Linked DNA regions of Alligator mississippiensis. The protein of the gene in region 1 interacts with the protein of each later gene in a pairwise test. Links are inferred from orthologs where the notes say so. Each region holds a gene or a part of one and is shown on either strand. Other genes may lie near its edges.

What was found.
Region 2: the proteins of CINP (region 1) and FBF1 interact in binary tests that used the Homo sapiens proteins (3 or more experiments, as listed by UniProt). The two-hybrid records come from large-scale screens. The link is inferred for Alligator mississippiensis from reciprocal best matches to the Homo sapiens genes CINP and FBF1.
Region 3: the proteins of CINP (region 1) and ATRIP interact in binary tests that used the Homo sapiens proteins (3 or more experiments, as listed by UniProt). The link is inferred for Alligator mississippiensis from reciprocal best matches to the Homo sapiens genes CINP and ATRIP.

Annotation. Positions count from the first base shown.
Region 1 is NC_081825.1:285,087,587-285,095,966, forward strand, and holds the start of CINP (cyclin-dependent kinase 2-interacting protein), read right to left. Parts: upstream 3,129-8,380; 5' UTR 3,067-3,128; coding exon 3,060-3,066; intron 1,063-3,059; coding exon 894-1,062; intron 1-893. UniProt on the Homo sapiens protein: Component of the DNA replication complex, which interacts with two kinases, CDK2 and CDC7, thereby providing a functional and physical link between CDK2 and CDC7 during firing of the origins of replication.
Region 2 is NC_081831.1:13,306,817-13,314,141, forward strand, and holds the start of FBF1 (fas-binding factor 1), read right to left. Parts: upstream 3,112-7,325; 5' UTR 2,871-3,111; exon of another isoform or gene 2,793-2,870; intron 2,144-2,792; 5' UTR 2,025-2,143; coding exon 2,022-2,024; intron 756-2,021; coding exon 728-755; intron 1-727. UniProt on the Homo sapiens protein: Keratin-binding protein required for epithelial cell polarization. Involved in apical junction complex (AJC) assembly via its interaction with PARD3. Required for ciliogenesis.
Region 3 is NC_081835.1:37,257,930-37,265,779, forward strand, and holds the start of ATRIP (ATR-interacting protein), read left to right. Parts: upstream 1-4,739; 5' UTR 4,740-5,147; coding exon 5,148-5,562; intron 5,563-7,211; coding exon 7,212-7,297; intron 7,298-7,850. UniProt on the Homo sapiens protein: Required for checkpoint signaling after DNA damage. Required for ATR expression, possibly by stabilizing the protein.

The DNA of each region.
Region 1 (8,380 bases):
AGTGATTTCTTCAGGCTACCATCCAACACAGATTAGCACCAGATGACTCGGGAAGAGGTGAGAAGCCTACATTAGGCAGTAATGAAATAATCTGTTTACGGTGAAAGTTTCTTTCTAAACCCCACTAGTAATAGGTTACCTTATGCCCTAAAACAGGGATGGGCAATTATTTTGGCTGGAGGGTCACTTTAGGAACTTGGATAAACTATTTTGGGCTGGGGAGGGAGATTGGGGGTGGGAAGTGCTGGCCTAGCTTGGCACACGGCATCAATTGATATTATCTGGCCAGGGTATATCCACCTTGCACCTACCACTGTGGGTGCTGGACAGAGCAGGCAGGTGGGATCTCCATGAAGATCAGCCAGGACCCCTGTAGGCAGGGCACACTTGGACAGGCAGGGAGCAGTGTCCAGGAGTGGGACAGGTTGAGGGGCCAAGATCCCAAGGCAGTGACAGTGCAGGGTCTAGGGCAGAGCCATGATCTGCTCCCTGCAGTCCCATCCTACCCTCCTTGTGGGGCATACCTTGCCCACAGGGCTCCCAGCCAGTCTTAATGGACGCTGTGCCCTCCTGCTCCCTCGTGCCCCTGGTGGTGGCTGCAAGGCGGGTAGGCCAGAGTTGCCTGGGCAGCGGGGTTGGCTCTGGCAGCAGTGGAGATGCTAGTGGCAGCAGTCAAAAGGGGCTGCTCCTGAGAAGCAGAGTTTGACTGCCATGCTGCCCCTGCCCTGTGCCTGGGAGCAGTGGGACTGGCTGCGTGTGCCATGGCTGGGCTGTCCTCCGTTCCTGGGCTAGGCAGGGCCAAGTGACCTACTGCAGGCCAGATAAAATTCCTTGGCAAGCCAGATCTGGCCCATAGGTCATATTTTGCCATACTCACTGCGTGCCATACTCACTGTGCGCTAATTTTCAGGTTCACAATTTTGTTGGCGGCCGTGAAACCCTTATCATTCAAGCTCTCCCATTTCATCATTAAATTATGCCAATCTGCTGCATTATCCTTAATTTTCCTTGCGCTAACAGATAAAACAGGTCTTTTGGGAGTCACAACTGCAGGGCTCTTTGCTATGTAAAAAGGACAGAAAAAGCAGCTTTAAAACTTGTGACAAGGAACTGAAGTGCTGCTCCACCTGGTGATCATAGTTGCACGTGTCCATGTGATGTTTTCTTTGCTTCTCCCTTGGTGACAGCTGAGAAAATGAAACAGAATTTAGCAGAATGGCAGTAACTTAAGAGAGAGGTAGTCAGCTGTGTTGGTCTGAAGTCAGTCAGAAGGCAAGGTAGAGATACACCCTATAAACAAGATAAGATATAAAGAGAGAGCACATGCTTTGTGGGCTGATGCTCAATTTCTTAGATAAGCCCCACAATCCCAGAAACTGCCACAAGAACCAGGGGGGTTTCCCTCTTTTATATAGAAAATCATAGCAGAGAGGGCAGGGGCGGATCCACGGGGATGTGCACTGGTGCATTTGTGCCCCTTTTGATTCCTGATCTACCAAAAATTTAAAACCAACTTCCTGGCCATGCCAGCAGCATTTTTAGTTAGGCAGCTGAGAGAGTCACTTGACTTCATGACTCATTATAATCTACCTGATCCTTTCTAAACTCTTCATTCCACAGGTGTTAATGACCCTCTCTTCTTTTTAATAGTCTTCATGGTCCACTAGTGTAGACTCATTCCAATGAAGTTTGACTTGTTTACTTGTTTCTGCTTCAATTTTAAAGTGAATAATGCAGCCCTAGGCCCCTAGTGGATGAATAAAGCTTCTGGTTTATTTTTAACTGGAGAAAAATGTGTGATGTTTTTTATGCAATGATGCACCTCTCCCTCTTCACCCCCCTTTTCACCATCACAGATCTGCCATAAATCGAGGGGCAGGAATTGGTAGTTGCTACAGGAACAGCAACAATTGTGGGCACATACCCTTGCTACCAACATGGGGTCCTGCCGCACATTCCCACAAAAGCTGGGCAGCAACCAGCTGTAGAGCTGACACACATGTTCAAGCAGTAACTCTATTGCAACTTAGTACTTTTTTAGAGCCAGCTAGTCCCCTTTTTTCTCCTGTGACAATTACTTCACATGTAGACGGTCTATGAGTATTATGCAGTTCACTGAGCAATGCATACAAATAATAGCATGTGGCTGGTCTGTGTGCAGTACGTGATTCATTACACCACTGGCAACGCGTAGGGGGTGCACCCCCTGGAAGTGCCAGCTGCGAAACCAGAAATGCCCCTCTCCCCCGCCATTGGCAATCTGGTGCCTCCCCAGACTTGGGAGACACCTGTCGCCCATACTTGCACGGTACATGTAATGTGTGACTGGTCTACATGTAACACACGGCAAACTGCGGTACATGTAGCATGTGGCCAGTCGACATTTACTGTGCAGTTCATTGTGCCATACATGTAATGTGGGTGGTCTACTCATGTAACGTATGATTCATGGTGCAATACATGTACTACATAGTGTTTCGCCAGTCTGTGTGTACTGCACAATATATGTAATGTGTGGCTGGTCTACATGTAGCACATGGATCACTGCACAACACATCACGCATGACAAGTCTACGTGTCATGCACAGTTCATTGTGCAATACATGTAATGGGTGACCGGTCTATATTTAGTGTATGGGCCATTGTGCAACATGTAACATGTGACCAGTCCATGTGTGCTGCATGGTTCATTGCACGATGCATGTAACATGTGACCGGTCTACGTGCAGTGCACAGTATTACACCATGAACGTGTAATGTGTGACCAGTCCACTGCACTACACATGTAACGTGTGACCGGTCTACGTGCAGCACACAGTATTACACCATGAACATGTAACGTGTGCCCAGTCCACTGCACTACACATGTAACGTGTGCCCAGTCCACATGCAGTGCAGGGTTCATGGCGCAACCTGCAATACGCAGCGTGTGGCTGTACCGCGCACTACATGTAACGTGTAGCAGGGGCCTCCCCCCGCCCCAGACAAGCCCCGGGCCGCCCGGCAGCGGCTCCTCCAGGCCCGCGCAAACCCCCCGCCCGGCCCGGCTCAGCTCTCACCTGCCATCGCCGCCCGCCATGACCCGGCCTGGTCCCGCCCCGGAAGTGAGCTCACGTCCGCCCCCGCCCCGCCCCCCGGCGGCCGCGGCTCGGAGCGGCGCAGCGGCGGCTGCTGTTCTCCGTCGCCCCCGCCCGGCCCCGCCCCCGCCCCCGCCCCGCCGGGCCCCGCGCTGAGGTGAGTGCGGCGGCGGCGCCTCCGCTGGGCGCTGTCTCGCGGGGCGGGAGGGCCTCGGGCGTCGCTCCGCGTCTGTTGCCCCGGCCCCGCGGCGGAGCCGAGGTGGGGATTCTCGAGGGGCCGGGGCTGCGGGGCCCTGCCAGCGTCCGGCCCGGGCCGCTCCCGGGGTGCTCAGTACCCGCCTGGCCGAGGCAGGGGGAAGGAGCGGTCCAGGCTGTGCCGGGCCGGGCCGGCCCCTGCGGGGGTTGAGCCGCTTGAGGGGGGGAAGGTGAGGGTGGGCTGCGCACGCCCAGGGCGCTGTTGTCGTGCGAGAGCCGTGCAGAGCCACGCAGCGTCCAGGCAGCGCAGTGACCGTGAGAGTCCAGAAACGATGCGAAATGGAAGGAAGGGCTTCATAGGGCGATCGCTTTGAGCAGACCCGCTGTGGAGCTGGCATCAAGTTTGATGAGCCTTCGAATGCAGGACGGTCTTCATCAGTGGTGGCCTGAGGGGAGGGCAAACCGGGCAGCTGCGCAGGGCCCCCACGCTTTATAAAAATAAAAATGAACGATACTGAATATTTGTATCCTCAATAAGGTATTAAGATACTTGCATTGCAGTTTCGTGGATAGGGCTATGTGAAATTGAAATAAAAAATGTCTGACTTGCTTATAGGTCAACAAAATTAAGCCTTCAAGGGGCCCCAAATGCCTCACTTGACCAGAGCCCCAGCAGCCCTAAGGCCACCGCTGTTTTTGTCAGGCCACCTCAGGGGTGTGGCTGCGTGTGTGCCGGGGTCCTCGGCCCTGCCACACCTTGCGATGGGGGCTGGGCAGAAGCCAGCTCCAGGGGTGGCTGTAGGGGTGCGGGGACACGGCTCTGACTCACTGTAGTTACAGCACGTCAGAGCAGACTTGGTTCAAGTTGTATGAATTAACGCACGCCAGCTGCCTTTGTGTCTCATGAATTCAGCATCCCCATACTTCAAAATGGAGGTGGGGGCACTTCAACTAAAGCTCACTGAACGAGCTTTACTTAAAGTGCCTCCACTGCTGTTTTGAAGTGCAGGATACTGAATACATGAGCTGCTGCAGGTGCTTTAATTAGAGTGCCCCCAGCCCCAGAGCATGTGTAAAGATGCTCTAAGAGTTATCACACATTTTTAAGCGCTAACTTTGGAGGGGGTTGGCTCTTTTTAGAGCTGGTGCCTCCTTTTTCTCATGTGATTGTTACTTTGTACATGTGGCCGGTCTACATTTATTGCGCAATTTGCCACTCAGTTGCATAGTACATACAGCATGTAGTAGGTGCCTCAAGCACTAACTTTATAGCTGTTTGGTGATTTTTAGAGCTGGCTAGTCATTTTATCACGTGATAATTACATTGCAGGTGTGGCCAGTCTAAATTTATTGCATAGTTCACCAATGAATTGCATAATATATGTAATATAGCAGGGGCCTATAAGTCAGTCTTGTACGACAGCTACCTTGTGTGCTAGTATAGGCCCTGCTACATGTTCATATGAAAGCTGGATAGAACCCAGCTGTCATGCATTTTCAAGTACAGATTTTATATCAGGTTGGCTCTTTTTAGAGCTGGCTAGTAATTTTTATCGTGTGACAGTTGCTTCGCTTTTGTGGCCAGGCTAAATCTATTGTGAGATTAGCCAGTTAATTGCGTAATATGTACCCTGTAGCAGGGGCCTCAAGCACTACCTTTATGTTGGCATTTTTATAGTCATTTTTATCATGTGACAGTTACTTTGCACTTGTGGCCAGTCTCACTTTGCATGTGTGGCCGGTCTAAACTTATTGTGCAATTAACCAGTTAATTGCATAACATGTAGCAGGGGCCTTTAAGTTGAAGTCTTGCACAGCAATTTTCTTGCATGCTAGTAAGGAAATGGCCTGGAAACACATACTGTTAAAGTGCCTGGTTTCTTGGTTCAAGGATGAATGTAAAATTGTTGTAGATGACAACACTATAGACTGGTGGTTTTCAGCCTGTAGTCTGCGGATTCCTGGGGGTCCACAGACTATGTCTAAGGGGCCCATAAAAGATGACTGTGATCAATTAAAAGTGTGTGAATACCCACACTTATAATTCAAAGGGGTCCCACTCCCTACCTCCATTCAACATTTTTTGGGGCCTGCAAATGAAAGAAGGTTGGACGGAAGGACAGGTACACAGACTGGCCTTTTATATCTGTGAGCTGGGTCTAGACATGCTGGGAAGGTGTGCTGAGATGGGTATGGTTGTAGGCAGATCTAAAATTTTGAAAAGCGGGGTGCAGAGGGGCAGGTGCGTCATCACATATAAAACAACATCTGTTTTTTTCCAGTTAAAAATAAACTAGAAGTGTTACTAATATGCTAGGGGACTAGGGCTGTGTTATTCAGTTTAAAATGGAAGCAAAAACAAATCAAACTTAATTGGAATGAGTTAGAAAGCATCTGCAGGGCTGTGAAATAGGCATTTCAGTACCAGGAGCAGCGAACATATAGCAGAACAAAGGATAGCTTGATTGGTGTAAGATCAAGACCAACCTTCTCAACCTTATTCGTTCTGGGACCCGTTTGCCAAGATCGATGTCTTATCCCAAGCCGCCCACAACCCCCAGGCCCTGCTGATGCCTGACCCAAAGTTCCCTGCCAGCTCCCCTCACCCCCAAGCCACAAACCCTTCTCCCCCCCCGCCCTCCCCCCCGGGCCATGCTGGTGTCCTTCACTCCCAATCCATAGTCCTTTACCTCCCAGCCCTGCTGCTGGGGCTCCCAGCTGCCCCCATCCTGTTTGGGCCAGAGCATGAGCAGTGAGTATGTGTATAGGCAGTGGCCCTGTGCTGCCCACCCAGGCATGCAGCTCCCCTCTGTGAAGAACCACCCCTGCCTTCTTTTCCTGCTAAAGGGCCAGGCACCCTTTCCTTGCCGCTCCCCCTGCCCTGCCACAGTCCTGCCTCTGGCCACTGTCCTCAGTACCTGTGTGACACGCATGCACATGTGCACACACACACCCCAGCCCTCTGGACAGTCCCCTGGACTTCCATCTCCCGCTTCTCATACACTTACCTGTGTCCAGCTGCTGGGGCTGCTCCCACGACCTAGCCTTGTGGCATGCTGGCCATGTGCGTCTGTGCGTGCAGGTGCATGTGCGCCTGCTGTTTCCATACATCCTAAGCAGCTCTAGCAGGCTGGAACACTGCCAGCCTGCAAGGGGAAACCTGCACTTTCGTGGGTTTTTCTGGGACTTCCTTGCAACCCTTTCAAATATTCTTGCAACCCACTTTTGGGGCGCGATCCACCGGTTGAGAAATGCTGATCAAGACCATTAAAAAGGAGAAGGTCATTAACACCTGTGGAATGAAAATTTTAGAGGGGAGCAGGTAAATGACAAGAAGCCATGAAGTCAAGCGACTCCCTCAGTGCTGCCTGACTAGTAATGCTGCTGTCATTATCAGGCAGTTGGTTTTAAACTTTGCATAGAGCAGGAATCAAATGGAGGTGCAAGTGCACCAGTGCATTCCTGGATCCACCCCTAGGTAACATTTTTGTGATGTTGAACAACACTGTGGTTTGTTATTTGTGTGTGTGGCATTGGTTTTGCAAATGTGTGTGTTTAATTTTTGTAGCAGACTGGTATTTCTAGGCCTTGGTTTTCTAGAACATTGTTTTAGGTGTGGAATGTTCTTTGGCTCTGGACGCAGAAGCGGCTGCTTAAAATTCCTCCACAGTAAACATTTTGTATTGTGAGACAATATCTTTAAGCTTGCTAGCCATGAATCCAAAATATCAAGAACAACTTTGGCCAATCTTGGAGTCCATTTAAACATGGGTAATAATGGAAAATGCAATCATCTTGAGTTTGTAATAGAAGGTGAAATTTTTGTTGTTGTTGTTGTTAATAGGCAACTCACTTGATGTTACAGTCTCATTCTGAAGTATTTTAATGGAATATAAACTGCAGATTAAAACAAACTAAGTGCCCAAATGGAAAATAACTCAGTGGAAGAAGGTTTGCAAGTTGCATTTTTTGTTACAGAACTTAGAGGAGTGGTTCTCGATTGAGGTACCATGAGATCTTCTTGGGGGTGCTGTGGAAGCAGAGGCAGAGAGGACAGTTTTACGTGCTCACCTCTTTCTGGGAGAAAAGTGAGGGATGAGGGTCTGGACCAGGTAGGGCTACAGCTTAAGCCAGCTCTGTCTGCTTTAGGGATATCAGAGAATCCTAATGGAGGAGGAGCATGTGCACATGTCACAGCCAGTCCTGGTCTGCCTCTGCAGCATGTATATGGGACAGCTCTAACTGGAGGCAGCATCACCCAATTGAGAAATACTGAGGTAAGTTGAGGAAGCACCAATAGTGGTTCTCAACCAGGGGTGCCAACATATTCAAAAAATTGATGGAGAGGTGCCCTTTGCTCTGAAACAGTTGAGAACCACTTGCTTAGCGGTTTCAACTGAGATCAGAATCCATTGTATAGGTGCTGGGCAAAATCATATGAGTTCATCCCTCCTGTAAAGACCTTAAATTTATTTTAAAAGGCAATTCAGGAAAAGATAAGAAAAAGGAAATACTCTTTGTAGTAGAAAGAAGAAGCAGATACGCAGTGAGATATAGCAAACTTATTTGATCACACACAAAGTTTGTGGGAGAGTCTGAAATTGAACCCTTATCCCCCAAGTCCAAGTCTGGTATCCCCACCATTTTCTTTCTCTTTTTTACAAGTTTTGAGTCATGTTCTCCATCCTGAGACTTGATAAAGAAAGCAGTGCTTTTTCACAGAGTCATATCTAGAAAAGCTAATTGTGGTTTTTGTGGATTGAAGAGGCTAGAGTCTCACTTCTTCATGGGAGGCTGTGGTGTATTATAAAACACTAGCATACTACCTAATCTGTACTGTAGGTTCTCTATGTAGTATGACCTGATTTGCTGTACATGAAAATAATTTTATTGAGCAGAGGTTGGCAACACAGCCCACGGGCTGGATCTGTGCCACAGCCACTGGATCTGGCCCACAGAGTTGGAGGGCTTTGCCAGTGCTAGTGCCAGCAGCGAGAAGCTACACCTGTGCCATAACCAAGAAGCAAGGAGAAGTGGTGATGGCCAGGATGGAACACTGGCCCAACTTGGGTCTGAGCTGGGTTGTTTTGGTTGCAGTTCCCAAACGT
Region 2 (7,325 bases), on another chromosome or scaffold:
GATCAGATCCCAGGACAACTTTAAATTAGTATGTGACAGGAGCCTAAGAAAAGGCATATCCATCTGATTTGAGGGGTAGCTCAGAGGTTTCCAACCAGCAGGCCATGAAGGGTTGGCTGCCGGGTCACGGCATGAGCTTTAACCACTGCTAGCAACAGTTCTATGCCCAGGCCGCACCCATGCCCTGATGACTGGCTGGGCGAAAATATCCTCCGCTTGGCCAATGACTGTGACTTTAGATTTTGAAATTGGACCGTGGTAACTGTGGCTAGTCACTTCCCTATCAGCGAGACTGTTGTAACCACTAATGTCTGGCTTGTCTCCTATGTGTATCCTCTGCAGCTAGGTAGCTAACATTAGCCAGCTAGTGATGTGTACGTATGATTTTTGGCCATTGTCTCCCTCCATGTAAAAAATAAATTTAAATATGTAAATTAGATTGTTTCTATACCCGGTTCGCCAGTATTCTTTGAGTGAGTTTGCTGGTCTGCAGCATAAAAAAGGCTGGGAACCACTGGGGTAGCTGACATTCAATGCTGATTCAGCAATGATTTGACTCAAGCAATACTAACACTCTGCATGTCTGACATGGCTTTGAACCAAGGAAGTGAATCATTAGCCAGGATTCACCACCTTGGACTTCTATGATTGTCAGGAGCACCCCCAGTTTTGACCCACCTATTCTCAAGCAGACTAAGGGTAGTGAGGTGCAGACGAGGGCTCATACCTTTTAAGCCTTTCTTCGGTTTTGTAGCCTAAGGAAAAAAATAAATTTTGGCTTGTTACAAAAATAATAAGCACCGGAAGCAAGACACATCCAACAGGACTTTTCCTGCATGATGATCATAGGGCTGGAAGGGGCCTCAAGAAGCCATTTAGTTCAACCCCATGCTCAAGGCAGGATCATCCCCAACTAAACCAACCCAGCCAAGGGTCTGCACAACTTGCTCTTGAAAATTTCCAGGGATGGAGTTTCCACAGCTTCTCTAGGCAGCCGGTTCTAATGCTTGACCACTTTCACAGTCAGAAAGTTCTTCCTAATCTCCAAACTAAATTTCTCCTGCTGCAGTTTGACACCATGCTCCTAGTCCTGTCCCCTACAGCCATGGAGAACAGTTTATTCCCATCCTTTTTATAATCATCCTTCAGTTTTTGAAGACTGCTATCAACTCCGCCACCCCCCCTCCCAGTCTTCTCTTCTTCAAGCTAAATAATCCTGGCTCTTCCAGCCTTTCCTTATAAGTCATGTTACCCAGGTCTGTAATCACTTAGTTTTGTTGCCCTCCACTGAACTCTTTCCAATTTGTCCACATCGTTCTCCAAGTGTGGGGCCCAAACCTGGACACAGTACTCCAGGGGAGGCCTAACCAGTGCTGATCAGAGCAGCAGAATCACTGCCCTGTTAATTCTCTGTATCGTAGAACCACGTTAGATAACTCAGTCTAGGCAAGCCAGCCCAGATGCAACATTATTGTTATTGTCATTATTTAGATGCATGTCCCGCACTATCCAGAAAGCCTCAGGGTGGCTTACGATACCAGGTATGACACGTCCACCACGATCCCTGTTGTTTACTGAAGTGAAAGTCAGATTTTCTTGTACAATCCCGACACAATATGGGAAAGCTTCCCAGGCCAATTGGGACATGATGCATGAAATAATGGAATCTGTCCCGCATACTCCTGAAGATTACCATAAGTAACTGTAGCAAGCACAGTCCCTGCTCGGTGCTAACTAGACAGCCAGGATTTGCAAAAGTCTAGTGGTGCATTCAATCATCGCTGCCTTAGGACGGTGGTTCCCAACCTTTTTTATACTGTGGATTGGCAAACTGTGGACTGGAAGTGACTGTGGACCAGCAAACTGCGTACCGACAGCCAACCCTTTGTGGCTCGGTATTGTGCCATGGCCCGGTGGTTGGGAACCTCTGCCTTAGGGCATCACAGCAATGAAGTCTGCCCGTTTCTGTTTCTAGTTTTCATAACTCTTTTCTACCCATTGCCCCTTCATGTCACACTCACCATCTCACGGCTTGCAGGGGTCCTTTCTTCCGTGGGCTTCTGCTCACAGTCATTCAGTCTCCACCTCCAGATACGGTTTAACAACGTAATCCCGCGACCCAATCGATTCAAGCCCGGTTGGTCTAAGGAAAGAGAGAGCAAGATTTCCTGCTTCAACCTCCACATTCAGCAGGATTGCTGCGCAGCCGACTTCCCTTTCTACCCAAGACCTTTCAAGTTTTCCATCTCACCGCTCTCTATACCAGCGGTTCCCAAACCGTGGGTCACGACCCCCAGTGGGGTGCCAACAGCAGTGGATGGGGTTGCGGGGGTGGGGAGCTGGGAACGAGGGGCCACGCTGAGGAAAACGGGGTCATGCCGAGGTGAAGTTTGGGAAGCGCTGACCTAGACGGAGGCAAGGGCAGATTGGTTTTAAAAAAAAGAAAGAAAAGCGCTTGGCACTTGCAGCGAGTTGGATGGGACGACCCCTGAATGTTTCAGAGACATTGAGACGGTCAAATACCCCCACGAAAGGGGTAAGAAACACCATCCCGGTTTCAGGCGGACACGGCTGTTTGGGTGAGTCTGATATCTCTTATTAGACCGACTCAAATCGCTGGAAAAATTCTTCTTTGCAAGCTTGCGGGTATAAATACCCCTCGTCAGGCTGAGGAAGCTCTTCCTGGAGGGAACGAATAGTAAAGAGGCCGGCGGCCGGTCTGCACGCCAGGAAAGGCCGTCGGTGAGGATGTAAACTGAGGAGTGGGGGGATGATGAACTGCGGAGAGGTACCTGCGGAGTCAGGTTATAACGTGGCATAAATCCAGTGTCCATGATTTTCTGCATCCAGCAGGCTGAAGGGAAGCTCACCCTGGGTCAGTGCTGCCAACTGAGGCTCGAGGCCGGGACGTGAATGGTCCGCGGTCGGTTTTTGTGTCTTAATGACTTGTCAGGCCCAACTGCGGACCCAGGACGAGACGAAGGGAACGGTGCCGGGAGCGGCGGGGGCAGGGAGAAAACCCCGGTCTCCTGCGGGCGGAGGCTGCAGCCCGCGCCGCGCACCCCGGCGGGAGCAGGCTGAGCCGGGGCGGACCCGCGCGGTTGCCACAGCAACTGCTCCCACCTCGGCGCTCAGCCTCGAGCCTCCCGGGAGACGTAGTTCCTCCCTGAACTACAACTCCCAGCACCCCTTGCGGGCCCAACCGGATGTAGAGGCAGGTCGCGGGCTGAGGCAGGTGATTGGCGGGCTGGCATCCAATCAGTGGTTCAGGCGTACTGCGCATGCCCGGGCCCCTGGGCGCATTAGATCAGGCGCCCGTGGGGGCTAGGCTGGCTCTTAGCACCCGTGCAGCTGGTGATAACTGGGACGGACAGCTTCCCTCTGCTGTAGTCACCGCATCCACCGGGGAGCCCCTCCCCCCATACAGAATTGAAGGCTACTCCAAACAGCTGAGCAAATCATTCAGCAGCCTGGGCTGGAGTCCTGCGGGGGGGAGAGGCTTGCAGGGAAGCTGGTGGACAAGGGGCCACAGTCCTCCCCCTTCCTGGCTGCAGTGGGTGAAGCATTTCTTCAGACTGGGGCATCAGGGGCTGCCTGTGTGTTACCCCTAGTAATCCTGGGACATGTTAAGGACTTGCAGAGAGAAAGCGTGGTCTTGAAACGGGTGTAGGTTGTAGCTGTGTTAGTCTTGAAACAGCACCAGAGCTGCCAGGGCAGTGCTTGAGAGGCAGGTGTTTACTTCAAAAGACAAGGAGCCAAACTTGTTGCACTGGCACGTGGAGGAGCCGAGCTGGAAGAGCAAGAGCTGTCAAGGCCCAGTAGCCTTATGCAGGGCGGAGCTCTTTGTTCCTTGCCCATGTCTTTCCTCACAGACGTGTGAAGGAGGTTAGTTACGCAATCCCCCACCTGCATTCAGCACACTTGCTCAGGCATCTGAAGCTGGTTCTTGCTTCTGTTTTGGATCAATCTGTAGGGGTCTGGGCTCTTCCTTGGAAAAGGCCCAGAGGCATACACCCAATGGAAGGGACAGGCCATCACCAGGGAGGACTATATCTCCATTGCTCAGGATTGTAAGGGGGCTGTTAGGAAGGCCAAGGCGGAGATGGAACTGGGACTAGCAACCCGGATCAAAGATAACAAGAAGTCCTTTTTTAAATACATAGGGAAGAAAATGAACATTCCGGGTAACATGGGGCCTCTGCAGGACACGCTTAGAAATCTGGTCATCACACCAGACGACAAAGCTAACCTATTTAACAATTTGTTGCCTCCATTTTTCTGAGCAGGGACCAGGTCATCTCCCCCACCGGAATCCCAGGGTCAGAGATGACCTAGTCAGGGAACTTCTGGAGGGACTGGACATGTTCAGATCAGCAGGTCCTGACGATTTCCACCCCAGAGAGCTGAGGAAATTACCAGAGGTCATTGCAGGACCCCTGGCGCAGCTTTACGAGCACTCATGGTGCTCTGGCGAGGTGCCAGAGGATTGGAAAAGGGCCAATGTGGTCCCCATTTTCAAAAAAGGAGGAAGGAGGACCCAGGAAATGATAGGCCTGTTAGTCTTACCTCGGTCCTGGGGAAGCTTGTTGAGAAAATTATCCAGGTGCATATCTGCAAGGGGCAAGCAGCGGAGTGTATGCGTAGGGGCAACCAACATGGATTCATCAGAGGCAGGTCCTGTCAGACCAACCTGGTGGCCTTCTATGACCAGGTCACAAAAATCCTTGGACGCAGGTGTCATGGTGGACATAGTCTTTCTGGACTTTAGGAAGGCCTTCGACACGGTCTCTCACCCCATTCTTGTTAAAAAATTAGGAGATTGTGGTATCGGTGCTTACACAGTCAGATGAGTCGCCAATTGGCTGGATGGCCGCACCCAGAGTGGTGGTGGACAGGTCTTTTTCAACCTGTAGGGATGTGGGCAGTGGGGACCTCCAGGGCTCGGTACTCAGGCTTGCACTGTTCAACATTTTTATCAGCAATTTGGACGAGGTGGTGAAAAGCACCTTGTTCAAATTCACAGATGACACTAAGATGCGGGGAGAAGTGGGCATGCTCGAAGGGAGGGACAGGCTGCAATTGGATCTGGACAGGTTACAGCAGTGCGCAGATGAGAATAAGATGGGTTTCAACACTGACAAGTGCAAGGTACTGCACCTAGGGAGAAAGAACCAGCAGCATACCTACAGGCTGGGGAACTCCCCTCTTGTCGGCGCAGAGGCAGAATAGGATCTTGGAGTCATTATAGACTCCAAGATGAACATGGGCTGCCAATGTGGGGATGCAGTCAGGAAGGCTAACTGCACCTTGTCATGCATCCACAGATGCATCACGAGCAGGTCCAAGGAGGTGGTCCTCCCCCTCTATGAGACACTGGTCAGGCCACAGTTGGAATACTGCATCCAGTTCTGGGCACAGCACTTCAGGAGAGATGTGGACAGCATTGAGAGGGTCCAGAGGAGGGCCACTTGCATGATCAGAGGGCAGCAGGGCAGGCCCCATGAGGAGAGGCTACGAGACCTGAACCTGTTCAGCCTCTACAAGAGAAGGCTGAGGGGATCTGGTGGCTGTCTATAAACTGGCCAAGGGAGACCAGCAGGCAATGGGAGAGTCCCTGTTCCCCCCAGCACTACTGGGCGTAACAAGGAATAACAGCCATAAGTTGACGGAGAACAGGTTCAGGCTAGACATCAGGAGGCGCTACTTTACAGTTAGGGCATCTAGGATTTGGAACCAACTTCCAAGGGAAGTGGTGCTTGCTCCTACCCTGGGGGTTTTCAAAAGGAGGCTAGACAATCACCTTGCCGGGGTCGTTTGACCCAGCATCCTTTCCTGCCCATGGCAGGGGGTCGGACTTGATGACCTGCTCAGGACCCTTCTGACCCTAGCAACTATAAAACTATGGAACTGTCATTAGTAGAGTGCACCAATAGAGAATTTTTGGGCTGATGCTCGTGGTCAATTTTTAACAAGCCGTATTGGCCAATACCAATCTTATTGCCGATATGCAGCCAGACAGCATGGAGAGCAGCATCTGGCTGGTAAGTCTTATGGGGAAGGGCGGACTGAGGTCCCCTCTGTGCAGCGCCTGCCCCTGCTCCAGCCCCACTCCCTCCCTCACTGGCGTAGCCTTGGTCTACCCCCCACATGGCCCTTCCCTCGCCCCTCTCCCCTTCCCCCACAACAGACTTGTCAGTCAGACCCGGCTGCTTTCCACTGCTGGGCTGTGCTTCAGGCTGCCTGCGTGGTGCGCTGCAGCTGTGCACATTCACAGGGCATTTATTGGCCACATTATCAGCCACATCAGCCAAAAAAAACAGACTGCCAATGCCGTCAATGTTCCTTATATCTGTGCCGATCTGATATGAGACCGATGTATCGGTGCACCTCTATTCATTGGATTTTTTTATTTTTTTTTTAAACTAAGCATTTCATTTAGATTTAATGCCCAGTGCTGTCCTCTTGTTGGAGGTGCTACAAACCCTCCCAACAGAAATGCTGCCTGAGTGCATCTTTAACATGTTCTAAAACGATCACCAGAACCAGATTCTCAGTTCTACCTCTGAACCACAGGACTCCGGCTTACCTTAAGGGGAGGTCCTGAACCTCAAAGCTGCTCTTCATCGATTGGGGGTGGGGAGAGAGGGAGTTTCTGTAGCCAAACAAAGTCAATAGAAAACAAAACCTAAGCAAGCTCTTTTTGTCTTTTGTTGCACAGATTCAGAGAGGAACACAAAATTCTGTTAAAAGCTAAATCTTTAATCTGTTAATACAGAAATCAACTGTGCAAGTTTCATTCAGTATAAAATGGACAATTTTTAAACAGATCAGAAGTACATGGGGCGGGGTGGGGAAAGGAAGCAGAACTGCAGGCACTCCACTTGAGAGAGGTTTTTGTTTGCATGCAACACCACTGTGGATACTACAGATAAAGCTGAATGGGGCAACAAGACCCAACCCAACCAATTCTTGTTCACAAATATTGGCTTTGTCATAGGTCATTTTTGCAAATTCCGCCAGCAAATGGTGACTTTTCACCACAAATTATTACATTAGTGTTTGTAAAATGCTTTGCAGCTAAGTGCTATGAAAATGCTAGAGATTAAAACGATGGCGGAACACCCAATAAATTGCTCCCAGCTGAAATCTGCCCTTACTTTTCTGTTAAAAAAAAAAGTATCACTGTATTCTCCTTTTTGATTAGCCATCAACTGGAAACCTCAAAGACTGGAGGTGCCAAGTGGATATGCGACGGGGGTGTTGGAAAGGCAGGGGGAGGAAGGAAATAATGGAATTTCCTAGAGAAAGCTTCCTGGATAGGTTTG
Region 3 (7,850 bases), on another chromosome or scaffold:
GGGGCAAACAAGTTTGACACCCCTACCTTCTAGCTCCCAGCATTTAGAAGCTATTCAGTTCATTCATGAAAGGGCTGTGAAAAAGGAATATTTTGTCTATTCAGGAGAAACAACTGAGGGAATCCTAGAAAAGTATCATTCCTTCTTACTGGCTATGGGAGCACAACTACTCCTGCCTCACCACTTCCACCACCAGACTGTCACTCCAGGAAGGAGTCTATTTTAACATCTTATCATCACCTAGTTTCCAGTGAGGTACTCCAACTTCTTCAGGATGTACTAATGCAACTTTGCTCTGGCACTGAAAAGTATTGCCTTTCTCCGGGGTGTGATCATGTCATGTAAGTCACATTGCCATTACAGTTGACAAGGTCAAGACAGCACTATCTTCTCCAGCAGTAGGAGAGCATAGCATGATGGGCTATTTCCCAATGCAGCGTACAGTGCTTGGCCATCACTTAAGAGGGTTGTGTCTTTGAAAGAGGTGGAGGACTGCAAAATAGGGAAGATTGTTTGGATCATCAGCAACTGGGAGACCACCATGGTCCAACACTCTCTAACCAACCCTCAACTATCCAGGGAGAATCCCAAGGGCTGGTGTGGTGTGGGTGCTAAGGTGTATGGTTGACAATTCAGAGATTGCAAGACATGAAAAAGAAAGGAGAGAGTCCCAGAACAGCACAAATGAGGATCATCCCCAAGGACACTTTGGAGGTCACCACAGGTACCTTGAGGGTTTGGGGGGTGACAAATGGACAGGGATACCCATCTCAGAACCTTGGGGCACACGTACTAATCATGTTTGATAGAGGCTGTTGAGATGGAAAGCCTAACATGTATAGGCCTCTAAATCACTGTAGAGAATTGCAAAGGCAGCAGAGGAAATTACTAGAAATGCAAGATAATACAGGTGCAATTCATACAGCACCTAGGATGGGGTCCTGGTCCATAACTGGTTCAATAGGAATATAAATAATTAATTACAGTTAATGACAAACATCCTACTGTTGGGAGTTAATTATCAATTTAGTCTCCAATTATCTAACCCTGCCCAAACAGCGGTTCTCTGTCAATTAACCCTCTGAAAGGTGGGGTAGTTCTTTGCCCAAAGCATATCTAATCACCACTTTTATTAAATAAATAACTCAGAGAATTGTTAAAAGTATACAAACAAGACAGTTTATTATAAAACTAACAAGAACAGGTTAGTCACAGAAATATACTTAGTCTTCTATACAAATCCTAACCCAACAATATCTTATCACAACAACGACAATAAAAAGGACTAAACTTTATTATAAGGGACAGGGGAACTTTATTTAGTTCTGCTCCGGTCACTGGGGTAGAGATGACTGCACCTCAGGCAGTGGCTTCTAATCTTCTTCAGACACGCACCAAGAAGAACCCCAATAACCCAGAAGAGAAGAACAGAATAGGGTAATGATTACGGATCAGAGCAGAGGGCTGCTACTTACACACCTGGAGGGAAGAGCCTGGGGAGCCAACCCTTTCTGCTCTGGTAGCAAACAAAGGATCTCCCATGGCGACTGGGCCCAGGAACCTCCGCGGCTCACACAGTGGATCCGTCACTCAGCCTCTCCGTGTGTGTCTCTCTCTCTCTCTCTCTCTCTCTCTCTCTTTCCTGCCAACAAGCACCCTGACTTCTTTCAGTCCAAAACACTCAGTCAGACTCCAATCACACACACACACACACACACACCTCACACCATTTCTGTCCATTAAAGCCCTTTATAAGGGTAGTGCACCTGGCACGCCAGGGCTCTACAAACGGCACATGGGTGTGCCCACAGCATATTCCAGGGCCTCTTGAGGGTGGGTCAGATAAAGGTCATCTGCTGACCTACTTAACATACAACTAAATGAGCCAAGCCCCGATTTCCACCATTACACCACTGTGTCATTCATGGTGTGAAATCATACTTATAGAAAATTATACAATAACAACAATGGTGTACCCTTCACTGCACACTTACCACTGAAGTATACTGTTAAGTGCATCCCACCACAAAATGAGTTGACACAAGACACTGGTCAACAAATACTCAAAATACTAACTATTGTGACATTCCTAGGCTCCAACTTTTATTTTTGCTAGGCAGGGGCTTAAGATGATGCTCCCTCTCCCATAATGGCATGGCTGAAGCAGAGGTGAGCAGTCTGTGGGGGACCAGGGACAGATGAGGACGGCCCACTGTCAGCTTGCAGCTGCCCACCCTGCTGCCTTCCTCACAGGAGCTCCATGCCAGCCGCACCAACATGACGAGGTGCCCCCTGCCAGCTCATCAGCACCAGGGGGCACAACTCTGTGCCACTACTTTGGCTGCTGCTGCTGGGCAGGCAGGGGGTGCCTCACCACAGTGGTGTGGCCAGTGTGGGGCTCCTGGGGGGAAGGCAGTAGGGCGGGAGCCCCAAAGCTGCAGCGGCCAGGCTGCATCCACCCCTGCCTCATGCACAAATCTGGGGGGGTATGTGCCCCCCACATTCTTCCTTCCTCAGGAGTGCATCAGCAGCAGAAAGCACCCCTTTCTCCCCAGTGATGAGCCACCCCTGGCTCTCTCACTCCCTGCCCCAGGCCCCAGGTATTGCCCTGGCTGGACAACACCCCTGGCCAGGCAGTTCCCCTACGCCCAGCCCCTCCCTCACTGTGGGGGCCTCAGTCTGTTCCACTCCCACCCCACAGACTTCCCCGCAGGCAGCTGGGGGAAGCTGCTCTCCACTGTTGCCTGGGGCTGTATTCCTGGTCACATGCATGTGGACCCCCTTGAGTCTCACCCCACAGCCCCCCGCAGGCTGGAACTCTGCCAGCCTGCAAGGGAAAACCTGCTGTTTTCCATGTTTTTCCACAGTGAAATGAAAACTCAGATCCCTGTACAATACTGGGAATCTGGGATAAATGCTGCCCCTGAGTCATGTAGCTGAGGACTGGGACTTGATGTTCCCATTTCAGGACTGTCCTGCCCAATTAGGGATGGGCGGTTACCCTACCCTCTTCTCAATGGGGGCCAGGGCCCTTGGGCCCCAATGTACTCGGCACCTATGGTGTCACTGCAACATTGCCATTCATTACTGTATTGTACCAAGGCAATGCAGTATCATGACACTACATCATGGTACTGAAACATCAGGACACAATGGCAGGACATTCCAATGTGCTCTGCTAAATTAGCTGTCACAGCACCATGATATTGCTTAGGCTGTGATGTTACCTGCTAAGGCAGTGATTCTCAAACAGGGGACTGGGACACTTTGTGATGCCACCAAATCCTTTGAAGGCTGCCGGGAGGTGTAAGGAAGAAAGCAGATTGTTATCAAAAACCCAGTACTGTTTGATTGTTTGAGAGAGACGAGACTACAGCCCGTCTATGATCAGGACTTCTTTACAAGCTTAGACACAGAATTCAGGAACAGTTACAAGTCCCTTAGAGATTACCTTTTTTTATACCAAATCAAGATACAATCTGACTTCCCAATTATCTCACATTCCTTTTTACCAGGTATGGTATTACTACCACCCTAGTTAGAACAAGAGACAACAGATGCTTCTATAATCCAACCTTTTATTCATTACACCCCAAAGCATAAGGTAAGCAATTATCTCTATGCCTATCTACCTACCTGCAACTGCACAATAGCCTTATCTTCTATACTGGGGGGAGATGCCGGGAGGAAGAGGAAGGTGCCATGCAGGCTTGCAGCAGGCAGTCTTGAACTTGCTGAGGTCTTTCCTAAAATTTCTGTTTATACCCAATATGTATACATTGCTCATTTAAATATTCTGGCTGGTGTTATTGTGTGGACTTGGAAGATGCCAACTAGCTGGGGTCTGGGTCCCTGTAAGAGGTGCAGTTTTGGGAGACAACTTCTGGTCTCTCTCTCATCATGTGGGAGCACTACTTGCCACCTTGTGCTCTTTTACTTTGCTGACTATGCCAGTTGAAACCTCTGCAGACATCCAATCCTAGAGAAGCTTTGTGGCCTCCTTTAGCCACACTTCTGCAACCTAGCATAAGTCCCTTGAAAGCAGCTGAGGCTAACAACAGGGTCACAAAGACATATTGTTATTGCAGGAGGATTCCAGCAGACTACAAACAACTCCATCATCATCACAAGGCAAAACATCGCTGGTTCTTCCTTGCTCCTGTTACACTTCTCACAAAAAAACAGTTCATTCCTGGCCCAGCCTAGCACTAGGGGCTTGATAAACAGATTCTTATTCTTTTTCAGGCCACTGCTCATGATTTAAATGCAGCCCAGCTTCAGCACATACACCCCCAGCTCAGGCTTTGCCCGGTCCCGAGTATGCACCGGCCAGTGCACCTGGCAGTCCCGGGCCCACAAGAGAAGCAGAGGCCGAGGCCCACCCGCCCCTCTGCAGAAGGCGACACGGCAGCGCCCGGCATTGCCCAACTCACATAAGCTACCATAGCTCATACGAAAGAGGCTGCGAGCGGAGGCTTCGCCAGGGGCAGGCCGCCGTGCCGCGGCTGCTGGGGTATAAGAGCTCCGTGCTTAAACCACAAGCGGCGCGGCGCGGCGCGGCCCGGCCCGGCCCGGCCCATCTGGCGCAGCGCTTAAGGGCGCCAAAAAGTGCTGGAAGCCTCGCTTCCTTTCATGAGATGCCGTTGCCAATCAGGGACAGCCTCACAAAGCCGCTTCTAACTGCCAATCGTAAAGACTTTTATTACTAACATTTCCCAGACTGCTGTTGTTTGACCTCTGCAGGTCCCGGCCGGAGTGATTCTGCCTGGGGCTTCTCTGATTGGTCAACGAGAAGAAATGGTCGCCGATTGGCTGTGCTGGCTGGCGGGTCTCGCGTATTGCGCGGGTCGGGAAGCTGCTCCAGTGCTGGCAGCGGTGGCTGGTTCTGCTCCAGGGGAGCAGCGCTCCCCGACCGTCTGCCTGCGGAGGGGCCGTGACTTGGCCGAGGGCGCACACGACGCATCCCGGGCTACCTGTCCCGACTGGCAGGAGCCAGCACTCTGAGCCCCGTCCAGTCTGCGAGGCTGGGCCCCGCCGGGCTCCTGCGGCGCGGCCGCTGCCCGACGCTCAGCGGCCCTTGTCCTGCGGCTCCGCGTCTGTGGCAGGCTGCGCCGAGCGTTGGCTCTGCAGGCAGGTGCCGGGACAGCATGGCCTTGAGCCGCTCGTCTGGAAACAAGAAGCGGAGCGGCGCCTTCCTCTACGGGGTGGATCCGACGCAGGTTCTCTCGTCACCTTCCACCTGGCAGGGGGCTACCGCCGGGGTCGGCTTCCCACCCAACAAGCGCTACAAAAGTGTTGATGTGGGGATGGCCCAGAAGGCAGAAGATCTCTTTGGTGATAATGATGACTTCACTGCTGCTGACTTGGAAGAAATTGATATAATTGCCTCCCAGGCACTGTCACAAGGCCGGGACTCAAATACCCTTCCTAGTACAAACGTTAAGAAACCGGAGCAGGATGTCAGGCCGTCCTTAATGCTAAACATCATCCATCAGAAGTCTGTGAACGTTAGACCGTGGAACGATGCTTCCAGCGCTGAACAAAATGCCAAAGCCGGGCTTGGTATGTGCAAGCCAGTACGTGGGCCTGTGGCGGGGCAATTGGCACCCCACGTCTTCGTTCCCAGACGTGGGGTGATAAGGCAGAGCTGATAAATCCATTCTAGCTGGGCTACTGAAGGTGTCTGAAAGGAAATAGGCCGTGGAATAGTCTCATTCTTTAATTTCAGCTCAGTAGTAAATGTTACTGTTGACAGTTTCATTTAAATCAATGAAGCCGTTCTTAAATATCAGGACACAAGGGAAAAATGTTTTTCATCGGTTGGGAAATCTCTTCCGGTGCTTTCTCTTTCTTTGTGTGTGTGTTTGGGTAACTCGATGGTACAATTTTTGGAGTTGTCGCCTGCAAGTAAACAATCGGCTAGATAGAAAGCACTACAAAATGTATGGTTCAGTCATGCTGTGACGTAAAGAAAAAAGCTTGAGGGAAGCCATTATGCCAAGTGTGTGTGGCATGGTAATGCTTTACTATAATAAGTACCTGCTTTGTGTATGTAACGTCTTCCATCTAAGGAATTAAGCCAGTAATTCTCTACAAAGGTGTCTTGAGATAATTTCAAGGGTGCCTGGGGGTGCTGTGCAAGTGTTAAATCAGCCCTTCATCCTTTCAAAGTAGGTACAGTACCTTGAATTCCTCTTATTTTTTTCTGTAGGTAAAGTATTTCAGGGAGGACTAGAAGAATCTGTGTTCTTGACTGTTCAACCCAGATATGACAGGTTTTAGGGCATCTCTCTGAGCAGCAGCATGCTGGTCTGTGCTTCATCTTTCTCCATCCCTCTTCCTGACAACTGTGCTGCCTGGTTATGTTTTATTTGTTCTGTGTGTATAGTTTTTGTTGGACTTAGTAAACAGCATTGAAATGTGCAACGAATAACTGTATGGTAAATGACTGACTAGTTACAGCTGAAGAAGGCTAGTTTGAAGTTGCTAGGCAAAATGACCTTAATTGGATTGCATACTTGCATTTTTAATGTAGTTTCTCAATCCTTGTGTCTTGTAAATAGATCCTGTGGTAGTGCATGCATCTAGTTGCAGGTTTACAGCCTAAATTTGCATCCACTTCATATTTTAAATGGGGTGGAGGAAGACCATAGAGAATATTTGGTATTCTGAGTTTTTTCTCTGTGGTAGGAATATGGGCTACCTATCCAAAAGATCATATCTATTGAATTTGGTTCAACATTTGGGTATAGTGTATTTCATGGTGAGATCAGGGGAAAAAATTTTAACAAAAGTAAAACCAAGAGAAATGACTGCATGAATTTAGAAATCTGGTGGAATCAGGCTTTCACACAATCTATTCACACACTTATTGTGTGTTTGGATTACAGACACATGCAGCTGAAAGTGAGATAGTATATACACACTTTTGTTTCTAGACATCTTTTGTTGTATTTGATAAAGTATATTGTGGTATAAATAGCAAAAGAAACAATTTCAAAATCTGATTTAATTTTACAACTTCCAGTATTTCTGTGTGTTCTTGTGAGCCTATATGCATGTTTTAGTAAAGTAACCATGGAAACTGTAAGTATGAACTTCAGGACTAAAATATTAATATGTATGATGATGAATATAAAAATATTGTGATATTAACATTTTATAACCTATATTACTTCAGAGTGAAATTAGTATTACTTCCTCTTTTTCAGTAGGAAATGGCACAGAAGATATTCTGGTTAAAGACACATTTCAATTTGAAGTACTGCAAACACAACATGAAAACCTTAAGGAAAAGGTTAGATACTTTTCTTTCTTTTTCCTAATTGTTTTTTGTACCATTCAGTACAGCATTTTTAAAGTAGTTTTGAGTCTTCTTTAAGTTTTAACTGAAGATCTTTTTAATTTCATTACATTATTCACAAGGGTAGAAGGGCCACCCTTTGTAAAATACATTGGAGCCAAATTGTGCTGAGAGGTATCAATATCTTGAGTTTCCGATATAACATGAAACTACAAGGCACTAATTAATCATGAGTTTCAGTCCAGCCCTTTTACAGTAGAAAACAGAGAATCAAATATTAGTTGGCAGCTCTGTTATGTTGTTTCCCATTAAATCCATATTTCTTACCTGTCCCTTGTCATTCAGAAAATATCTGTTTTGCTTAAGTTCAGGGCTTGAGATCAATGCCATGATCTGATGCCATAAATTTGTCTGTGTATTTACCTCATTATATGTTTGAGAGAGAATGTGAGTCAGAAGTGGATGCATGGTAATTGCCATGAGACTCCCTATGTAGCATAATTCTTGGGACAGTGCACTACTTGCTGTGTCTGTTCTAAGATGAGTT